Linked DNA regions of Tribolium castaneum. The protein of the gene in region 1 binds, or shares a complex with, the protein of each later gene. Links are inferred from orthologs where the notes say so. Each region holds a gene or a part of one and is shown in the gene's direction. Other genes may lie near its edges.

Evidence for each region. The genes of interacting proteins can lie anywhere in the genome.
Region 2: Polr1C (region 1) and Tif-IA share a complex: the UniProt entries of both Homo sapiens proteins name them as parts of the pol I pre-initiation complex. The link is inferred for Tribolium castaneum from reciprocal best matches to the Homo sapiens genes POLR1C and RRN3.
Region 3: Polr1C (region 1) and Polr2F share a complex: the UniProt entries of both Homo sapiens proteins name them as parts of the pol I pre-initiation complex. The link is inferred for Tribolium castaneum from reciprocal best matches to the Homo sapiens genes POLR1C and POLR2F.

Annotation. Positions count from the first base shown.
Region 1 is NC_087396.1:18,337,917-18,346,682, forward strand, and holds Polr1C (DNA-directed RNA polymerases I and III subunit RPAC1), read left to right. Parts: upstream 1-4,474; 5' UTR 4,475-4,586; coding exon 4,587-4,649; intron 4,650-4,698; coding exon 4,699-4,999; intron 5,000-5,046; coding exon 5,047-5,166; intron 5,167-5,211; coding exon 5,212-5,625; intron 5,626-5,674; coding exon 5,675-5,784; 3' UTR 5,785-5,865; downstream 5,866-8,766. Other genes in the region: Rab8 (ras-related protein Rab-8A), read left to right, coding at 1,781-1,876; N-acetylneuraminate lyase A, read right to left, coding at 2,826-2,968, 3,012-3,183, 3,229-3,374, 3,422-3,590, 3,636-3,781, 3,830-4,169, 4,216-4,467; proteasome activator complex subunit 4, read right to left, coding at 5,948-6,082, 6,129-6,338, 6,388-6,824, 7,440-8,166, 8,211-8,766. UniProt on the Homo sapiens protein: DNA-dependent RNA polymerase catalyzes the transcription of DNA into RNA using the four ribonucleoside triphosphates as substrates.
Region 2 is NC_087395.1:22,073,114-22,080,914, forward strand, and holds Tif-IA (RNA polymerase I-specific transcription initiation factor RRN3), read left to right. Parts: upstream 1-4,577; 5' UTR 4,578-4,736; intron 4,737-4,784; 5' UTR 4,785-4,790; coding exon 4,791-5,244; intron 5,245-5,296; coding exon 5,297-5,402; intron 5,403-5,514; coding exon 5,515-6,126; intron 6,127-6,174; coding exon 6,175-6,353; intron 6,354-6,397; coding exon 6,398-6,656; intron 6,657-6,705; coding exon 6,706-6,880; 3' UTR 6,881-6,948; downstream 6,949-7,801. Other genes in the region: tyrosine decarboxylase, read left to right, coding at 1-225, 1,867-3,261; ATP-binding cassette sub-family F member 3, read right to left, coding at 7,067-7,219, 7,311-7,531, 7,580-7,760. UniProt on the Homo sapiens protein: Required for efficient transcription initiation by RNA polymerase I (Pol I). Required for the formation of the competent pre-initiation complex (PIC).
Region 3 is NC_087398.1:1,178,600-1,184,663, forward strand, and holds Polr2F (DNA-directed RNA polymerases I, II, and III subunit RPABC2), read left to right. Parts: upstream 1-4,698; coding exon 4,699-5,094; 3' UTR 5,095-5,140; downstream 5,141-6,064. Other genes in the region: Kua (plasmanylethanolamine desaturase 1), read left to right, coding at 2,373-2,584, 2,628-2,846, 3,015-3,275; probable ATP-dependent RNA helicase DDX23, read right to left, coding at 5,153-5,370, 5,466-6,064. UniProt on the Homo sapiens protein: DNA-dependent RNA polymerase catalyzes the transcription of DNA into RNA using the four ribonucleoside triphosphates as substrates.

The DNA of each region.
Region 1 (8,766 bases):
TACATTAGTTTGAAGACCACTCTTTGAATAGCGTTTTCTTCAAATGCAGACTAAAAGTATCAGTATTTATTGTTACTTATGGTGTAGATGACTGTGAAGAATAACAATGTGAAACAATTTCTGAAAAAAATTGCCATACTTTGGAGTAAAAAAAATCTTGAATTTTTGTCATTTTTCTTAAAAAATGAACGGCAAATTACAAAAATTCAAGATTTTTTACAAAATAAAACGATTTTTTTTTAGAAATTGTTTTACATTATTTTTCTCCATACTTGTGTACACAATAAACAATAATAAACACTGAAATTTTTAGCCAGCATTGGAAGAAAACCCAGTACAAAATGCATCTGAAATGTACCTTCAAACCAATGTATCTTTTTTTTTATATATTTGGACTACTGGAGGGATCCTCAATTAAGCTCTGAACTCGAAATTCGCCAATTTTGAGACAGCCTGTAGTATTAAAATTCAGATTGTATGTCCTCTGGAATACTATTCAATAATATATTCAGTTACTCATCTTTACACAGACTCAATATGTAAAAGATAATAAAGAACAAAGATCAATAGAGAAATAATAATTGTACAATAATGTCCGCTGCAGTTTTTAACCAAATTGTCAGAACTGCCTACCTCACAAAGTCACATTTCAGTATTTATAAAACTAGAAGGGGAGTCATGAAGTCGTACTCGACATTAAAACAAAAGTTGTATTCATAAAGTATTTATTTTTTGGCCCGTAGTACAGTACAGAAAATCAAATTTGGATTTTGTTAAATTAAAAAATAAAATAACCATAAATTTGCAAATACTATTATAAAAAACAAACTGTTGAATCCGATGCTAACGTAGGTGGCAGTTCCTACATCAAAAACAAAATATTACACGAACAAACCTGACCCATTATTTATGGCCCACACAAAAATTTACATGATAATTATGTATTAATGTTTGTGCATTCTTAGAAAAAAAAACATGTTTTAATTATTTCTTTACTATCTGAATATTATGCAAATAAATTATTCTTTTTGAAATGCTTACGTATTTGTTTTTTTTTGCACTTGTTTCATAAAAAGTCATCAATACTTCATTAATTTAACCTTCGTAATGAGATACTCGATATGCATGTGGAAGTATTAAATTATGGATACGTGTCAATAACTAATATATTAAAGTTATTGTTTTTTAATTCTTAACTCTTAATGCACAATTAACTGTAAAAAATCTAGAACATTAACTGAAGTTAGACTAAAGTTCTGATAGGCGTTTTCAAAATAGAAATCGTTGTTCATGATCAAAAATTTTCTAAAAAATAAGTGATTCCGTGTAAATTTCGTTGTTCAAATTGATTTTTTATCAGTTAAAACCACTTATCTAAATTTATGAGCATTAAAGCTATTATTACTTCCATTCCAAAGTACTTTGTTATGTAATTATCTTGATATCTGGTGATAATGATCCCTTTGAGTCTTTTAATCTAGAAATGTTGGAATGTTTTGTGAAATAAAATGAATAAAAAAATTAATGTTTATATCCACTTCCATCTTCAAAATTCCTTATTCCTTAAACTAACATAAAGTTTACTTGTTTACTTTTAACAGATTTTATGAGCGCCCGTTTAATTAGTAACAAGATGTAATAACATCGAGGAAATATTTTTAAAGTACTACTTTTGCATTCGAATTCATTTGAGCCTTAAAACTGAATTTGAGACACCTTTAACTGTTCATCTTTACTTTTATTTGTTTCTCGGTTTTATTTTTGTCCGTTGTGTGACTAGGAGGCGAGCAATCCCCCGAAAGGCGGCCACCAGCTGAAAGCCACAGAACCACAACGAAAGCCAACGAATTGGCTGTCTCGATGCACCCTACTCTGACCAATCGGCGGAGTTTAAACGCCCTTATATACTAATCGTTCACATCACAGCCTTAAAGGGAGAGTCGATTCTTGTCGTTTCTCAAGGGTGGTAGGCTTCGTTTGGTACCAGAGGTCATCAGGTTGTGGTGTGTTGTGTAAATAGTCGGCACGACATGTCGTTCGGTGTTTTGTGACTTAATCGAAGTCGTTCAATTTTAAATCAGGCGAAAGGGACCAACTTTTCGTTGAGAAATGCACAAGTGAATGATATACTTTGTTATTTATGATTCGGTTTGAAGGCCCCGTTTTCCCTCACAAAACACCGGATGGTATGTCAGCGACCTTGATAATACTTATGTGATTAAGGGTAATTATTTTTTTTACCGTTGTATTTTTTTAGATAATTTATAGGTATATTTATACGTGTGCACATTAAATTAAAGACGATTGTATTCTTGATGGCGGTTGCAGACCTTCTCATAAAAATGATATGTCAATTACTGTTTTCAACGGCCATTAAGGGTATTGTTTCAAGGATTCTTTGTTGTGATTGCGATTCATTTATATTTTTTAAAAACTAGTTATGTCTTTATTCATTTTTTAATAGTAGATAAATCGAACAACCCGATGGAAATCAGTCCGTTTTATTTGTGTACATAAATTATTTTCGTTTTTCTTGTCCAAAGTATTATTGAAAAATTCTTTGTTGGGCGTTTACAAAAAATTGTATATCAAGTTTCGTTGCAAAAAAGATATTAAAGGAGACTAGATTTTGTACGTTTGTATATTTACATTTCACAAATTGTTTAAGAATTATCGCCCTCTAGGTTTAGCGATTACACTAAGTAAATAAAATGACGGAAATATCCAGGATGTTTCATTTTAATTGCGTTTTTATGAATAATAAAGCGAGTAGAGTCTTGTAATTTATTGTTTTATAAATGAATGTGTAAAAATATAAAAATGACTTACATAACACCAAGTTCGCGCAATTTGCATTGGAGTTTCTTTGTCGTGCCTTCCCATAACGTCTGCAAAGGCTCTCTGGTGGTTGTGCCGCAAGTGCTAGTAATGATGTCAGTTGCAGCCTTTGAGGCCGCTATGTAGTCGCCTAAACAACATATTAAACCACGTTAAGCGGACTATTCTTTTACCTTGTTTCGCAATCACATCTATCGTCCTGTTGAGTAAATTCTGTGACGTTTGGGCGCTTTTTATCTCCCCTTCTCGCACAGCCACACAAATGGATTCAACCAGTTTTGGTAAAAAGTTCAGACTTGTGCCCATAATACACGTAAAACCGCTCGCAGCAGCCCCCAAAATTGCCTAAAAGTGGAAATTAAGTGGGAGATATGGCCATAAAGCCCCTACTTCGTCGGTGCCCATAAAAACGGTAAACTTTTCCCTATTTACCGCCATAGCAGCGGTGCTCTGTTGTATATCATTCGTGCTATAAATGACGCCTACAAACGAATCCACTTCTCCCGTTATATCCAGCAGAAACGACGTAATATCAACTAAAAATGAATTTTTTCGTGTCTTGTTCATCGTTCGAAACGCTTACTTTCAACTTGCGTAAACTTGGGATTGTGGTGATAGAGAATGGGGACGTTTTTTGTAAATTCTGATATTAATTTTATGTACTTGATTAGGTCTAGGTGGTTTTTTGGTTTGTTGTAAAGGTCGGGGAGGATTACAACAGCGCCGATGTCCCTCTTAGCGGCGTGTTTTGCCTACAAATGAAAAATATTAACAGTTTTAACAAATGTTTAAACTACCATTTCTATAACGTCTTTGAGGGGGGCTCCCCCGATTTGTGCCATCAAAAACTGATTTGTTTTTTCACAAGCGTCAGCCCACGCGTCCGCCAAATCTATTCTTTCATGAATGGTTAAGGACATTCCTTCCCCGGTTATGTCATTAACTAAAATTGACCATTTAATTTAATTCATTTTCTAGAGTTGCGAAATACTTAAAATTCCTTTAATATTGCAAGCTTTTAAAAAATTTGCGTATTTTGGTATAGCCTTAAGGTTTACATCAGGTGTCACTCTTTTTAAGTTAGTAAATGGGGTAAAGACGGGGCACAAAAGCCCCCGAAATTTAAATTTCTGTGCCTTGAATGCAGGCATTGCCGCTTTGAGGGCATGTTTCTTTGACGACATGTGTTTGTGAATGTCGGAAATCCCGCATCTGTAATCCTTTTTACAGAATTTGCAGTAGAAATACGTATTTCCATGTATGCTCTCTGATAACCATGCTTTCAATTCGGGTTTATTCTCCCATTCTTTTTTGTACTTTGGTATGTATTTCTGCGGGAAGGTGGTTGGTTTTTCATTTGGTGTACTGGTGACTTACCTTCGAGTTACTGTCTCGTGATTTCTTTGACGCTGGTTCAAGATTTTCGTCTTTTTTGTCGTCTTGTTTCTCATTTTCTTCTTCGCTGTCTGACTCTTCTGGCACAAAATCGGCAAACAGAGCCTTAGCCGTTTCAGGTGTGCTTATTTGTGAGTCTTTTTCAGCCTTGCTTTTCGTGTTTGAAGCTTCCTGTTTGGAGCATTCGGGTTTCGTCATATTTTTCAAAAATTGTTTATATTTTTCACAAAACATAACCTAAAAAGCTGACATTTTAAGTGGCTTTTGGGTGGTAAGGACGGTAAGGTTGGTAGTCATTTTTACGAAAAACGTGCGTTGTTTGAGGTTATCCAAGTTTTTGAAACAAGTTTAAAATGGATAATATTCTGAATGACGAAAAGCCTCGAGTGATTTTAGGAGAATATAAAGTGACGCAGGTATGTCCTTTATTATTTTGTATTAAATTCCTTCAAACATCCTTTGAAGAATTTGCCCTCGGAACCAACTGTTTTGGACGAGAAATGGGACTTGAAAACCTTTAAGAAGAGATTTAGGGTGGTGATTGTGCGAAGTGAAGAGAATGAACTCGAATTTGACTTGATAGGGATTCACCCGTTCCTAGCAAACACTTTCAGAAGGTTAATGTTGAGTGATGTCCCCACAATGGCCATTGAAAAGGTTCACATTCTTAATAACACGTCTATAATCCAAGACGAAGTTTTGGCCCATCGTTTAGGCCTGATACCGCTAAAGGCCGACCCCCGATTATTTGAAATGAAAACTGATCGTAAGTCTTGTAATGTTGCCGTTCCAAACGTTACAATATTTTTACAGCAACTGCTGAAGGTACCGAACAGGATACTCTAGAGTTTGCGTTAAAAATTAAATGTACCAATAATAAAGACAGCAGTAAAGACTCACTGCGAGCTGAAGATATGTACAAAAACAATAATGGTAATTACCCCGTTTGAGAAACAATAAAAATTGCAATAATTTTAGTGTATTCAAAACACATCAAATGGGTGCCCATTGGTAAACAGAAGGAGCGGTTTAGTGACGTGGGCCCCATCCACCCTGACATTCTCATTGCCAAAATGAGGCCAGGCCATGAGTTAGATTTAAAATTATTAGCAGTCAAGAGCAACGGGCGAGACCATGCGAAATTTTCTCCTGTCGCAACCGCATTTTATCGCCTTCTTCCCGACATAAAATTATTACGAGAAGTGGAAGGTGAAGCAGCTGAGAGACTCCAAAAATGTTTCTCTCCCGGTGTGATTTCAATCCGACATGAAAAAGGCCGCAAATACGCTGTTGTAGCTAATGCGAGGTATGATACAGGAAGTCGGAATGTTTTCCGTTATGAAGACCTCAAGGACGCAGTAGCGATGACCAAAATTCAGGATCATTTCATTTGTAAGTTTTTTTTTATTTACTTTTTCAGTTTTTATTAATTGTAATTTAGTTACGGTCGAATCTGTGGGGGCTTTACCACCTGATGTGATATTCATGGAAGCTGTTAAAATATTAAAAGACAAATGTCTTGCTTTATTAGATGAATTAAGTCATGTATAAACATTTCACTTAATATACTTTTATCAAACCACAAAAAATATAATGAACAAGGTTAAAAATAAAAAACATTTGACGCGTAAATTTTTGCTACCTTAAACCTTCCTTCACCTATTGTCTAGTAAAAAATTAAATTGTAAATTGACTGGAATCGGAAAATTATTGCCTAGGCGTAATAACTGGGAGGCACTGTGAGATCACTTAAAACTAACAGTTCTTCCTCAGTAAATTTGAGTTTGTGGATTTCCCAGTTTTCGTGATGCGTTCGCTTGAAATCTCCCAAGGTTTTGCGAATTGTTGCCTAAAAATTATTAATTATTTTTTTAAACGACGAAAGTGTGACTCACAGGAATGGGTTGGGGGTCGTTCAAATGGGGTCCTAATTGTCCAAAAACATCCGGTAAAAAGTCAGGTACGTCGTATGGATGGCTATTGATAAAAGCACACAAGCCCAAAACTCCAGCATGTCTAAATCTTAAAGTACTAAGATTCAAACTGTTTGAATTGTTCAAATTTTTCTTCTTCAATTTAGTTTTCGCTTTCTGTTTAAATTGCGCCTAGAATTCACGAATTATTTAACGATAAACTAAGAACCCGAATAATTACTAATAATTCTTGAGGGTTTGGAATAAATTGGCAGTGCAAAAGACCGCTTAAAACTTGACTAGCACTAACTCTAACTTCAGGTTGAACATCTTCGAGTAGTTCTAGCACCATGTGTTGTATATCTAGTACCCACTCCTTTTTCGAAATAATCGTGGGCATATTGTGGAATACAAAACCGGACATGAATTCGGTTATAACCGCACGAGCCGACCAGAACGGACAAGTGGCAACTTTTCTTATTGCTTCAAGGGCCGAAGGCATGTATTTGTCAATAGTTATGGTGTAGGCCAAAACTGCGAGCAAACTCGAGCAAATTGGGGCGATTTCGTCGTCGGTGTCGTTGCTTTGAAGCACACACGACAGTGGCAAAATCTCGAAATATTCAGGCAGCGTGGAGTAGTTCATTCTTACAACACTCGATGTCACGTATTTTGAAACTGAAAACATGCCTTTTATTATTGCATCCTGACTGATTACATTACAAAACAAAACATTAGAAACAATTACAGAATCACACAAGGCTCCGATTTTCCAAATAACAATTAAAAGCCTAAAAACATATTCTTAAATAGAAAAATTAAACCAGTGCCGATTAGTCATCGTACAGTCACATAACTGCTATCATTTTTGGTGGATGCGCCGGCTAGATTTGGTTTTCATTCTAGAATATTTTTTAGATTCTTACTACGGATATTTTAAGGTAGGGGTATGAAACGACGTATAAATAAAATGTTTTCGTACTCGATAGTTTCGTTAATGTCGCTATAGAGCGCAGTTGTTCCATTACGTCCATTGTACGTCTACGTTTGTAGAGCAATGAATTTGAAAAAATGTTTGGATTTGTATAATGAATACCACACAAAAAATAGAGGCAGATAAAGCATTAAATTCTTAATAGTAAGATATAAACATAATGCAAAAAATTTATCGTAAACTATATTTAAAAAAATTTCAAACGTTTACCAATTTGCACTACTCCGTGAGTTCAGAAAGTTCTGTGATTTCTGTGATCTCATTTCGTCTCCTAAGTTATAGTTCTCCGTAATTCTTACCTAGTTTGAACAACCTCATGGCATTTTCTCGAACTTCGTCGTTTTCGAGCGACAGTCCTTGCATATCTTTTGATACTTCAGACGTATCCATTGGATTATCCTTACTTTCGATTTTGCTCAAAGTGTAACTGTACAAATTGTCAAGTGTGGGCATTATCTCCTTGAAAAACGCCTTAATTCCCGCCGAATTCGTATCGTTAGCATCATCGGGGAAAATCAAATCTTTGGAAAAAATCATCGTCAGACAACTACTAATTTTGTCCCTGATATTCTGGAAAGGGTGCGACAAGTGCTGTTTGAAGTAGTCGAACAAGCGAACTGACAGTTCGTTATTTCTCCAAGTTTGTTGGTTAAGGGCTGCATGGAGCATGTGGAGGCGCCCACAGGCCACAAACGATGTTTGGTCGGAGAGTGGATCTTTGACCAGGTATTCCAAGATCCAATGGTAGCGGTTGGGGTCTCTGGAGTCCAAAGCCATCGCCATACTGAGGCCCCAGTCGGTCATGGTTTCGCTACACATATTCACAACTGCAGTTTCGAGGATCGGGATCAGGACTGACCAAAGTTTGGTGATTTTATCAAAACTCCAATGCTTCGAACCGCGGATTAAACCGCTGATTATCTCAGCAGCGCAACGTTGCGACGACTCGTTTTTATCAGCCACGAGCTTCTCCAAGTGGGGAATGATGGGGTCAAGGAGCTTGTCTTCGAAAAGTTTGAACAGGTTCTAAAAATGTTCTATGAAACAGAAATCAAATACACGCAACTAACCTTGAACAGGAGGAACTTGTAAGCGTTGAACTGGTCTTTCCCTTTCTTCTCCTCCATTGAGAAATATTTAATGAATTGGTCTAAATTTTCCGCATTGCTGAAAAACTCGTAAATCTCTTTTTCCTCTTCGCTCAGTTTTGGGAACCTTTTGTCTATGTGGGGTTGTTCGCTTGGGGGTGCGTATATTTCGACTTTCGTAGGCCAAGCGTAATACCCTATGCTGTGATCGTGCAAAAATCGCGGTTTTTCCCACGCTTCTGAATCTTTCGGGACCGTTTTACTGTCGTACAATAACCATTTATTGTCTTCTCTTATTCCGGGCCTCAACTTGTGGTTATTTCTTTTACTGTTGGAGAAACCGTAGGGATCAATTTCAATTTTCGTAAATTTGGGTTTATTCTGAATTAAAATAAACAGAGAGACTCTTAATGCCGTTTTTCTAATGGTTATAGACTCATTTATTAAGGCTTGTAGAAAATACTTCACTATCCTCACGTTGTATTTAACGTCATAGTGTACTAACACCTTTAGGAACGTAACAGCCATTGAGTGATAC
Region 2 (7,801 bases), on another chromosome or scaffold:
CCGGACGTGGAAACGGGCTACTTGAGGAAGCTTTTGCCCAGCGAGGCGCCCGAACAGCCCGAAGAATGGGACAATATCATGTACGACGTCGACAAGAACATCATGCCTGGGATAACGCACTGGCAGCATCCCCGATTTCACGCGTACTTTCCCTCAGGAAACTCCTTCCCGTCCATCCTGGGGGACATGCTGTCGGACGCCATCGGCTGCATCGGCTTTTCATGGGTGAGTTTCCGCAAATTACACAAATTAGAGACGAGAATAAAGCAGGGTCGCTGTGATTCATCAAAAGTTAATTATTTTTAGCATGATTTTTAAATAAACACTCGTGATTTTCGCTATCAATACACGGCGCGTTTTCCACTTTGTTTATATTTTTCCACTGGCATAACACGTATCTGCCTACGCACGCTAAGGCTTTTCCGATCTTGGGGGGCTTCATGAAATCCTTCGACAACTTTCACTCATTGACGTCAATTATTTTAATTTGGTCGCATCAATTCGAGCAATTGACACGATACCTGTCTAAAATTAAATTACTCTCGGGAATTGAGATGGACGAAAATAAAACTTGAATTTCGCTCATTATTATCGCCTTCAGATTGAATTAAAATGACACAGCCTCACGCTAACATCAGTCTAATTGCCATGATTGAAAAATTCAATTCCGGCAATGTTGCAAAACACGACGAAAAATTACATCATGAGATGGCTGAATGACTTTTTGTTTGTTCTTTTATTGTTTACTTTGTTGGAAAAAACAGCCAATCAGAAGTTGCACTTCATACCACGTGCAATTATAAACAAACACTGGCAAAATTAAACTAAAATTTTGCTTGTAAATCAAACATGGGATAGCAAATATTATTGACTACCAAGAAGTGTGTTTTTTATTATACCTCTATTGTAAAAAACTAGAATCTTCAGTCTTGAATTTAATTAATTTTAATGAAAGTTTATACATCACTTTAGTTCAACAATTACTAAACATCACCAAATAAAACCGGAGACAACGAGGAAGTAAATGAGTAAAAGTTACGTCCTTTTTTTAAAAATGTTTCAAAAAGTAGAGCTGATAGAAAAAATCTGCTTGCAGTTTTGAAATCTGCGTCCAAAAATTTCTTAACAACAAAAAAATCTGAGGCCACAGATATACTATAAACTAATGTAATAGTTATTTATTACACAAGGCGTATCTTCGGCAGCGGCCTACGCCTCCAGGTTGAAACGCTTGGGAAGATAATGGTGCATTTTATCGTCGGTGTACTATACAATTCTCCATATGTCGATTGAATTTTTTTTTATTTATTTTGATTGACAATTATATGAACCATATTTCTCTAGACGATAAAATTTCTCTTATTTTAAAACCATTTGATTTTTAGTAAATACTCACTTTTCATTATTTAGATTAGTGCCGGATTTTGCAGAATAAAAAAAAATTATTATAAATAAAATAATTTTCTCATTTCAAAGATTTATTCTCGTTACAGAAAATCACAAAACAAGTTCTCACTATGTTTTTTTGCAATAGTTTCCTTTACGCTTCTAGTTTGAACAAAAAATAGCTCTACTTATGCAAAAATAAGAAAAATAAGTTATTTTGTCTTATTTCGTTCAGTCTGCTTTTTTACAGAATTGGTGAGTATGTTCTATAGTTAAAATTAAAAAAAAATGTAGAAAAATCTGCGATCTTATTGTAACTGTGTCTTTATGCATTTCTTTGAAGTATCATTTATTTGTACATTAAAACATTTATGGCAATTTTAATATTTTCCGTTGAGATCTTTACTGTTGCTTTATTATTGTTTTATTGCCGTTTATTTGACATTTCCTTTGGTAAACGACTATTTCGCTTTATTCCAGGCCGCTAGTCCCGCCTGCACGGAGCTGGAGACCATCGTCATGGACTGGTTCGGCAAAGCCATCGGCCTCCCCTCCGACTTCATCACCTCCTCGGAGGGCAGCACCGGCGGCGGCGTCATCCAGACCTCCGCCAGCGAGTGCGTCCTAGTCTCCATGCTGGCAGCCCGCAACCAGGCCATCAAATACCTCAAAACGGAAAACCCCCAAATGGAGGACAGCGCCTTCCTCCCGAAACTAGTCGGCTATTGCTCCAAAGAGGCCCACTCCTGCGTGGAAAAAGCTGCGAAAATCCTCCTAGTCAAGCTGCGAATCCTGGATCCTGACGAAAACGGGAGCTTACGGGGCGATAAACTCCGGGAGGAGATGGAGAAGGACAAGGAGAAGGGTTTGTTCCCGTTTTTCGTTTCGGCGATTTTGGGCTCGACTGCCTCCTGCTCCTTCGACAATCTGGAGGAGATCGGGCCGGTTTGCAAGGAACAGAAGCGGTGTTGGTTGCACGTGGACGCGGCCTACGCCGGAAACGGGTTTATTTGTCCCGAATTGAAGTATTTACTCAATGGGATCGACTACGCTGATAGTTTTAACACGAATCCGAACAAGTGGCTTTTGGTTAATTTCGACTGTTCCTGCTTGTGGGTCAGGGACCGGATTCGACTAACGCACGCCCTCGTGGTGGACCCCCTGTACCTGCAGCACGCCAACGCTGACGAGTCCATCGACTACAGGCACTGGGGGATTCCCCTAAGCCGGCGGTTCCGCTCCTTGAAACTGTGGTTCGTCATCCGGAAGTACGGCTTAAGCGGCCTCCGGGCCTACATCCGGAACCACATCAAACTGGCCAAACACTTCGAACAGTTGGTCCTGCAGGACACCCGGTTCGAGGTCGTGAATGACGTGAGGCTGGGCCTTGTGTGTTTCCGGTTGATGGCGTGCGATGCCGCCAACCAGAAGCTGCTAGCGATGATCAACGCCTCTGGGAAGATTCACATGACACCGTCGGTGGTCCGGAACAAGTACATTATCCGGTTCTGTGTGGACGCGGAGCATGCCAAAGAGGAGGACGTTGATTATGCGTGGGAGGTGATCAAGGAGTTCGCTGTTGAAACGCTGGCGACGGGGGCCAAGGAGCGGCCGCCGCTCACGAGACAGAAGTCGAAGCGGTTCTCGTTCACCAGGAGCATTTCGAAGGAGATGTACCAGAGGACTTTGAGTCGGTCGAATTTGTGCGACGGGGCGACGCCCATTCTTGTGGCGGATTCGGATGAGGAGGACACGCTGGTTGAGGACACGACGATGCTGCCAGATGAGCCCGATGAGGTTTTTATTGACAAACAAGAGTTTGTTAATGGGTTTAGGATAAATGACAAAGAGATTAAGTACAATGGGGTTAGTTAAGAGTGTGATTGGGTGTGTAGATGTGTAGACACAACAGTATTATTTTAAGTAATAATCTTAAGTTATTTGTTCATTCACATATCATTAGACGTAAGGACGGTTGTGTACCAAGTGATCATTTGAATTCATTACAATTAGAGTACCTACTGAAACTGATATTGAAAGAATGGTTAAGACTTGAGTCTACCAACTATTCGGAGGAAACTCTCCTACTCTAATTACAAATGACGACATATAATACTCGCTCATTAGTATTAAGTAGCGTCCTTGTTGTTGTTAAAGAGTTTTTTTACTCATTTATAAAATGTAGACGTAATAAATTATGATATTAATTTGAAACTACCATTCAATTATTTTTCCTTTATAAATTCGTTCTTCAGAGTCTTTTTGACAATATTGGTTACACACAGCGCGTGCTGTTAACATTTAAACAGCACTTTTTTAAACAGGAAAGTACTAACCATCAAGGTTTTTTACATTGTTCCATAACTGCTGGAAAAGAGAAATCAGAGGTGATTATTTCTGTTGTTTTTTTCCCTTTCCCAAAGATCATCTGAGGCAAGTGCCCTCGATCCGGCTCTGCCCCTATATCATGTAAAGAATCTTATTCAAAAAAAAATTAATACCTGCTTAAGTATGCTGAGTTAAAAATAATCGAATTCTTTTAGTTTTCGAGAGTAAGTTTGTTCTTACAAAGTGGATTTGTTTTAATTGTGAATCCTGTGAAGATTTCACTAAAATGTTTGGCTGAAATTATTTGCTTAAGAGATGAACTTCTGTGGTTGTCGGGTTGGACCTTAAAAATGTGCCTCCTTGTGTTTTTCAGATCAAAAAAAACGTTAAATGACAAAAATCAATACATTAGACAAACCTCCTTGTTCCCATCTTGTAACAATAAGTTACCTCACAGATTATATTTTTTGTTGGTGTCGTACTTGTTGCCGTGTCGTTTAATTTTACTCACTTTATGACTTACTGTTTTGTGAAAGAATTTTTGCGGATTAAAAGTTCCAAATTCGTTGACTAGTGCGTGCTGATCGCGGTTAGTGTGTGCTATTGAAAGGGATTTTTAAGGGGAAAAGAGAAAACAACCCGGATTAAAGGGTTAGTTTTCAATAATTTATTTTTAGAAAAGTTTCTACATTAAAATCTATAATATTTTCAACGAATTTACTGGTACAATGTTCCAATTTCACTGTTTTTTATTTCAGTAGGTTCGTGAAATGCTTTTGAATAGGTGATATTAACATCTTGTACTGATTTTACTTTTAATTTATTTTAATAAATTAGCCCGGCTCAAAATTTAAATAGTAGCCTTGCCAACCAAGCAACTTCGAAAAGCCACAACAAATAACCCTAGACGCAGACGTCAAACCACACGTTTTTCTCCTAACCTGTAAAAGATGTGATTTAAATAACATTGTGAAATACTGTTTTTATTGATTGACTGTGACTGAACCGTTGCTTTAATTTATGTAAGTGCCATATTTATCATTTTTTCAGAAAAAACAAACAAATTTCAGATCATTATGTCTTTATTCTCGGCCCCCACGAAGTCAACGACCCCTTCCTCGATCCTGAAGAAAACCCCAAGTCTCAAATCGACATTAAACCGCTCCTTGAAAGTGAACACACCCACTAAAGTCCGATTTATTTTACCACACTCTAAAAAAGTGCGCCACATATTGAAGGACTACATCAAACACGGAAATGCAAAGGATTATGAAAATTTAGTGTGCCTAATTCGCGATGCCGAACTGTTTGATGACGATATTTCCTCACTGTTGAAGGAAGCGACTGAGTGTATTTCAATAATGAAGCAGGAGTTACGTCTTTTTGTAGAAGCACTCCTTTCAGTTGACTGGATCGAAAGAAACGAAAATGTAGTTAAGGAGTATCAGTCATTTATTGCGAACTTAGTCGCTGCACATAACTATCACGCAGATTTTGTGATAAATAAATTAGTCACATTGTTTTTTCCCCGTAAGTTTGGTAAAGTAACTAATCACCAGTTAATTACCAGTGAATTATTTAGCTCTAACAGACCCTGAATGGGAAAATGGAACCCCCAGTAAAACGGATATTCTGAAGTGCCAACACGTCCACTCCCTCCTCTGTGAACTTCTAAGAACAGTCCCTTTGTAAGTAATTTTTCAAGTCTCAGGTACTTTCCGGATGTAATTATCTAGAGTAATAAGCAATTTTCTCTATAAAATAGTTTATAAATTAAATCTGTGCTAATGGGCATTTCAGGTGCAACGAATTGCTAATCCACGCCCTGATCGACCACTTCCCTTACATGAACAAATCGACCCACATCCACGAATACTACATCCAGAACCTCCTCTGGGTCATCTGCTACCAGCCCACTCTCAGACCCAACATCCTCCACTTAATTTTCTCAAAACTGATCATCATGGACGTGAGTGCGCCCCGCGAGGAAATCGCGAAACTTGAAGAGGAGGAAATTTTCATGATGGACGAGAGCAAAACAAACACTACGATAAATCTGGACTGCGTCCATTCAATGGCACACACTTTGGACGTTTGCCTGGATAAAGTGTTCAATTACATTTACTCCGAGTGCCATGAGCCGGGCACTAATGACTTGAATTGGGGCAAAACCAAGTCTTTATACCAGGATATTTTGACGGTCTTTGATCAGTCGATCCTGCCAACTTACAATACTCATCACGTCCAGTTTGTTATGTTTGTGCTGTGTTCCTTTAAAACGACGTTAACGGAGGCGTTTTTTAATTACTTGTGGAAGAAGGTGTGCAATCCGAACGTCGCGTCGGTGATTAGACAAGCGGCGGTTAATTATATTGTCAGTTTTATAGCGAGAGCCACTTTCGTCCCCCTTACGTAAGATTTTTTCAATTTTTTATGCCCCAGTTTAATGGAAAATTGCAGCATGTTGAAGGGGACTTTGCAACAAATGGCCGAATGGATCCACTCGTATATCGCCACTCAGGACGGCCTAGAGTGCGTCAATTCGGACCTAAGGCTCCACTCTGTCTTCTACACAGTGTGTCAAGCCCTCTTTTATGTGATTTCGTTCCGGCACAAGGATTTAGTCAACACAAAAAAAAGTAATGATTTTTTTACTCGAACATTGTCACAACTTTGATTACAGATGTCGTATTTTTGGAGAGTCTGAACTTGGCGAAAATCGTAACCAGTCGGTTAAACCCGTTGCGGGTTTGCCAACCTGCAGTCGTGCAAAATTTCGCTGCTATTACCCGAAAGTACCAACTAGCCTATTGTTACTCAATCATTGAACACAATTCGAGGAACACTTTACCGACTGTTTATAGAGACGAGAAAGGTTTTGTGACAGTTTCAAGTAACGTCCTAGAGGCGTGTTACCCGTTTGATCCTTTTGTTTTATCAAGGTTCGTTGCACCGTTTTTTGGGGGATTCCCCTGACTGTTTTAATTGCAGGTCGAGTGCGAAAGTGCACCCGTTTTATCGGGACTACAAGGAGGTGAGTTTTGAGGTAAACGATTCAGAAATGAGGGAAATTGGGGACGTTGACGATTTCCTCGAGAATGACTTTAACTCAAAAACGCAGAAATTCTCATACGGGACTTCGCCAGGGTTTAAATTTAAGGGCTAATGTGATACTGATTTATGCAAGATGTTATTTATTAATTTGATAGGAAAATAAAGTTTCTCAAAATATGACCTATATTTTAATACCGTTATAAACATGAATATATTATAAATATAACAAAAAATCATAAATAGTTTTTCCACAAAGGAGGCACATTTATACAAATTTCTCTATTAAAAAGTAAACTCGTTATTTAGACTGACTTTCGAGTTCCTGTTCGACAAGTCGTCTGTACTCATCAAAACCTTCTATACTTCGCACAGAGCCATTACCACAAACCCACAACTCCTTGCACACTTTGCGAATAAGCCGCTCGTCGTGCGACACAAGTATCACACCGCCCTAGAAAAAATTAAGCACAAGGGAGGTAAAAAAATAAAAAAGTGTATGGTGGTAATGTGATCACCCAAAAGTGGTAAAAGCGTTAACTTACGGTGAATTTGACTATCGCATTCCCTAAAGCTTCAATTGTTTCGATATCTAAATGATTGGTGGGTTCGTCAAGTACGAGGAAATTTGGGTTACCCATGCACATTCGGGCAAAAGCGACTCGAGATTTTTGCCCCCCTGATAAACTGGCGACGGTTTGGAGGGCGAGGTCGCCCGAGACGCCAAAACTCCCAAGCTGGCGTCTATATTCCTCGATTGGTTTTCCTAAATTGTGGGATTATTAAATTGTTGAGTTAGAAATTGGGGAAGTACCGGGATATGTGCTTTGGAGGAGCTCGACCGAGTTGACGTTCATGTCGAGTTGGTCCACGTGGTGCTGGCTGAAGTAGCCGAATTTTAGGTTTCGATGGACGTGGAGCATGCCCGCAGATGGGGACAGGAGGCCCATGATGATTTTGAGGAGGGTGGTTTTACCAGCACCGTTGTCACCGACCTAACATACAACAAGCATTTTTTCAAAATTACGATTACAAA
Region 3 (6,064 bases), on another chromosome or scaffold:
CACACTAAGATTGTGTCCAAGTTTTGCGGAGAAAAACATGTTTTTCGTTTCACTGGCTCATTTTATTTTTAAGCGGTGTGCAAAAGAGCGTCTATTATGATTTTTGGTGAAAGTAGTTCCGCTTCAATACTACATTAACCAATCTATTGATTTGGAAAAGTTTAGTGCAACAAATGCTTAACACCAGACTTGTTTTTTATTTAAACGAATTTTTAATTAAATGTCTTGCAAATAATTAAATCCGATATTAATTTTTGCCAATATGGACAATGAGTTTATCTTTATTGTCCCTACTTTTATCAATGATGTTTCGTAAAAAAGGCAATCATATTATTCTTGCATAATTATCTACAGCGTGAGAAAAATTTATTTAAATACACGTGCTTGTCTAGGTTTATCTTTCGTCTGTCTTTTGTTTTTTAATGAGAATTTGGCGTAATTAAGGTATAATTACGTGTTTTAGATACGGTTGGTATGGCGATATTTTGCTTGTTTTAGATTAAAAAATAGTTCAAATTCTTTCATGTCCTAGATCTATTAACGCTTTAATGAAAGAATGTTATTGCACATGTGCTGGTTGTGAGACAAATAACGTTGGAATTGAACTAATATTGAGTGAGAATGGCGTTTGCAAAGGATCGATCGGTGAAAAAAACTTAAAAGTTTTTACACAATTTGTCACTGCAGTGATGTGATGTTTATTTATTTAGAGCACGTAAAATTGCGCAAAAACGAACTATTTCTGGAATTGTTAAGTGACATTTTATTCGCTAATATTTGGCAGATGTTAGCATTCTTTCGACAGGTCATCAAAATTATTACACTGACGTTTTCTTAAACAACAGCCCACATCAAAATTACTAAAACGTGATTATTGTCAATAAAATGATTTATTCCCCGATTTAAAAATTTGGCTATTTTTGATGCGCTTCCGGGTTGTATTATTATCCCTAATACCTGGCTTTAGTCCCTATTAACGTAACAAGTTCGTGGAGAATTTTTCTCATTAAAGAATCCTAACAAAATAAAATAAAAGAATCGCTATAATTTAACAAATTACCTTTAATCGCAACGCATTTGGAAAAATAATTGAACTGAAACTCATTCCTTGATAACAATCATTTGGGATTGTTTCCTTAAATAGAATTAGAACTAAAACAAGTGGTGGTTTTTTCAATTCTATGTTCAAGTGGTACAATAAAATTTTACTACCAAGGTTTGCAAAATAAAGGCGTGTTTTAATACGTCATTAGAGGGTGATTAATCTGCTAGATAATTTCAGTCGACTATAATCACCATGAAAAATGCCAAGTGTGTAAAAATAATCGTATTTTAAGTAATTAACTTTCCGTTTTTTCCGTAAATAGCAACATCTGTAGCACAAAATTAGTCACTGCACAAATACAGGTGTTAATTTTTTTCAAAAACCAAAATTTTGTAAGAAATGATTAAAAAAGAATAAATTCTGAAATTTTCTACCACAAAACTTGTTTTTTGCTGACGGTTGTGTCCAGCTAATCTATAATTAAATAAGATTTCCCTTGTGGATTACCGTAATAGGTTTTGCTGAAGTTGGCAGTTGTATTAAATTATTTCAGTTTTACGAAAAATAGTTATATATAGTTATGTACAGTTAGTTGTCGTGTTTTTTACATTCATACATGTTGTATGAGAAAATTTAAATTATGTCTCCATAGAGGAATTAATGCTGAAAAGTGAGGCCTTGTTATCATCACTAACGTTTGCTTTAGATTAACCTTTTTGCTTAACTTAGCTTGCGGTTACGTGTAATTACAATACAATAAAAGATTTGCAACGACACAAAGCATCATGCAGATACGTGTCAATCTGTACGTACGAAGCTACTTCACCTTTAACTAAATTTACATAAAATAAGTCGTAACATGTTCAAGAAATGTGTTTAAATATTCGGATTTAGAACAGAAACGTGTTATCATTCGTAAGTTTTTGGCAAAATTAAATTATCACTCGAGTGGTAATAAATCCGTTACGAAATTACGTCAAGGTACAAAAAAGGAAACCACCTCTCGATGACATAATATCTCGCGAAAATGAATCATTGTAGTTTCACGCTATAGTGAGCGTTAAAACGTAAAAAATGCCACTTTAATTCGTGTTTTATTGATGTGTTTGTCTAATCGACAGTGTGTTTTATTCTGATAGGTGCTTATTTAGGAAGAATCGATCTTGTCGTCGATATTACTTAGCACAAGTTCGTTTATTATGCATTGATGACATTTCATATTATTCCGATGACCCATTAAACTCGATTATTTTTAATATTCCTCCTAGTTTACACTAATACTGGGCCCAAGTGTAATTAGCCGAGTCACACCGCTCCCTTTTTGCAGGGAAGCGGACTCAGGAATGCATCTGCGTGGGAATCTGCTTGACCCTTATGGTGGTCAACTTCTTCTTCATAATATTCCACGTCCGTATGGACAACTTGAGCACGATTTTGGTGGCGGCGTTTTGCGGCATTGTGACGGCGGATTTCGGCTCGGGACTCGTGCACTGGGCGGCCGACACGTGGGGCTCGGTGGAGCTCCCCATCTTGGGCAAAGTGAGTGGAGAGCGAAATGTTTGATATTTTAAATTTTGTGTAGAATTTTTTGCGGCCGTTCCGCGAACACCACATCGATCCGACGTCCATCACCCGCCACGACTTTATCGAAACCAACGGTGATAACTTCATGGTGACCATTCCGTTTCTGGCGAGGATGGTTTGGGATTTTCTGACGCTGCCTGCGGACGGGGTCGAGAGGAAGTTCACGTGGAATTGCTACGTGTTTCTGTTGGCGATTTTCGTGGCAATGACCAATCAGGTAGAGTTAATTATTGATTCGAATTAATTCCTCGGGTCGTGTGTGCGCTTTTAGATCAGCTCGCGATATAATACTTTATAAAATGATAGGGCCCGTGGCAAACACGCACACCTGGGGTAACGCGCCCGATAAATCTGAGTTCATTTGCTGATTGGAGCCACTTTCCAGATACACAAGTGGTCGCACACCTACTTCGGGCTGCCGGCGTGGGTGGTGTGGCTGCAGGAGCACCATGTGATTCTGCCGAGGCGCCACCACCGCATCCACCATGTGGCCCCGCATGAGACCTACTTTTGCATCACCACCGGGTGGCTCAATTGGCCGTTGGAGAAGCTGCGCTTTTGGAGCATCCTAGAGCTGCTGATTGAACACACCACGGGCTACAAACCGCGGGCTGATGATATGAAGTGGGCGCAAAAGGGCACGTGATATTTTTGTCTTTGTTATGAATGGGGTTTGTTTTGTTAGTTCTACGTGTCTGTGGAATAATTGCCAAAAGTTCATTTAGTTGATTTAGCGATTTATTGGTGATAGAGAACACCACGTTTTGTTCGATTCAATAAATACATAATCAAGTGCCTGATTTTAAGATTGGACAACGAATGTAATGTACTTTTATTGTTACAAAATCATGTTAACCATTGGGGACCAAGCGATGGGCCTTGGGCCAATTTTTTAAATGTTTAATAGTTCTTACAATTTAGCCTAATGATTTGATCAATTTTAGATTTATTGAAGCTAGTCTTAAACACTCCAGGGATAATCTACACGCACTACCAAAGTAGTTAGAGTGCCTGATTTAGGTACTTTATGAATCATTATCATTACAAACACGCTTAACACCCAGTAGGGTAATTTGTACGACTTATGACTAGGCTAAGGTTTTTAATTCTCAACTTGTTTGCAATTATTTAATTATTTGAGCTTTATGACGAGCTCCGTCTGCGTTTTATTCAATTAATCAATAAGCAGTCGTACGCTAGAAACTACCACAAAAAATGGTTTGTTAACTAGACAAACACTGTGATTTAAACATCGCAATAAATCGCAGTTATTTTTACCATTTCTAGACAAAACTGCAATGGTGCGCTCAGCTCCATTTGCGTGTGCGTCATCTGACATTTCTCTCACTACGTTTACACAGCAGGGGCATAGCGGTGACAAACTATCAAATATTTTTTGAGGTTACGAAGTTGTTACAAAAAATACAGATTCACAAAACAAGAACTAATAAACGCAGAATCAAAAACCTAACGAAACGCAAATCACAAAACACAATAAACGAACAGAAAATACTTACGATTAACACCGATAACACACACTTTCGACAACGATGCGACGACGTCTATAATTTACTGTCAATGTCAATTAATGTTCAAGGATACCACCCTTAGATAGCCCTTAGCTGTTTAAATTTGCATTGTTTTTGACAATTTTTATAGCTTTGTGTTGGTAATGAAAAAATGAAATTGACGCACACGCAAATCGAGCTGACCGCCACTATAATAGACAAGACGGTATTTTATAAAGTCTGGAACAAATGCAATTATTTTATACAATAAAGTTGCTTGAATTTAATGTGTTTTATTTTTTTCGCACCAAATTGTTAACTAAACTTAAAAAAATCGTAACAATCAAAATTTCATCAAAAAAAGTTTTTATCGCAACTGCGACGCAACCAACAATACACTAAAGTAAAAGTATTGTTTGAACCGATAACAAGTTTCGGACTGATGCACTTTCGTGCAACTCTCCAATAACCAATACTTTTGACGTTTGACGCATTTGACATCTGAACGTTGTGCTATGTTTGTGTATGCCTTTAAATTAGTCAATTAGCTAGAAATCGAGAATGAATGACGAAGAATTCGACGGTGATGACGTGGGGGACGACTTCGACGACGACGTCGATGACGACAACATCGAGGAGCTGGAGCAGCCCGAGGAGGAAGGCGACAACATCGACATCCTCGCTCATGGCCAAGCCGGGGGCGGAGTGCCCAAAAACAAACGCATAACAACCAAATACATGACCAAATACGAAAGAGCTCGTGTTTTGGGAACAAGAGCTTTGCAAATCGCCATGTGTGCCCCAGTTATGGTGGAACTAGACGGAGAGACAGACCCGCTTCAAATCGCAATGAAAGAACTCAAACAACGGAAAATCCCCATCATAATCCGGCGTTATTTACCCGACCACTCGTACGAGGATTGGGGCATAGACGAACTCATAATAATTGACCACTAGTGTAATAAGATTTTGTTTTTAAGAATAAAGGCTAAGTAAACATCGAGTTTTATTTTAATTAAGCGAAAATCATTTCGTCGCGGCGGCGTTTCGGCTGATTGGGCCGAATCTGGCATTCAGGGTGGTTCATTAGTTCAGGGGGGCACGTTGAGACAGGTGACGATAGCAACATTTGCTTCAAATCGTAAAATAGGGCCGAGTCGTCGTTGGTGCAAAAACTGATAGCCACCCCGCTCTTCCCGGCACGGCCGGTTCGGCCAATACGATGGGTGTAATCTGAAAAAAAATAAACAAATTACAGATTAGATTTCCTTTTTTCTTCAGTTTGCACTAGTCATAAAGAAAAAAAATCTGGGACAAACTTATCTTACCTTCAATAGTCTTGGCCATGTCGTAATTAATAACAACGGAAACATCCTTAATATCAATCCCTCTCCCAGCCACGTCAGTGGCCACCAAAATGTCCTTAGCCCCCGACTTGAGACTAGCCAGTGCGTACTCTCTCTGCTCCTGCCCCTTACCCCCATGGAGCGTACACGCATTGTAGCCCAACTTCTCCAACCCTTTGGCCAAAACATCGGCCCCTTTCTTCTGATTAACAAAAATAATAATCGGTGGATCGACCCCTTTGGACAAATACTCCATCAACTTCTTCCTCTTATCGTTCTCAGTCATAATATGCACAATTTGTTCGACCCGTTCCGTCGGTTTCCCGATCGAACCAATGTACACAACCGCCGGACGTCTCAAATACGTCCTCGCCAGTCGCTCAACCGCCGGTGGCATAGTTGCCGTAAACATCACCGTTTGCCGATATTTCTTCTTACTGTTGTAATTCGCCAAAATTATTTTACTATCTTCCGCTTCTTCCGAGTCCGGTTTCAAGTTAGTGACCGGCATGTACTCCAAAATTTTTTGCACATCTGCCTCAAATCCCAAATCAATCATGCGATCGGCTTCGTCCATAACA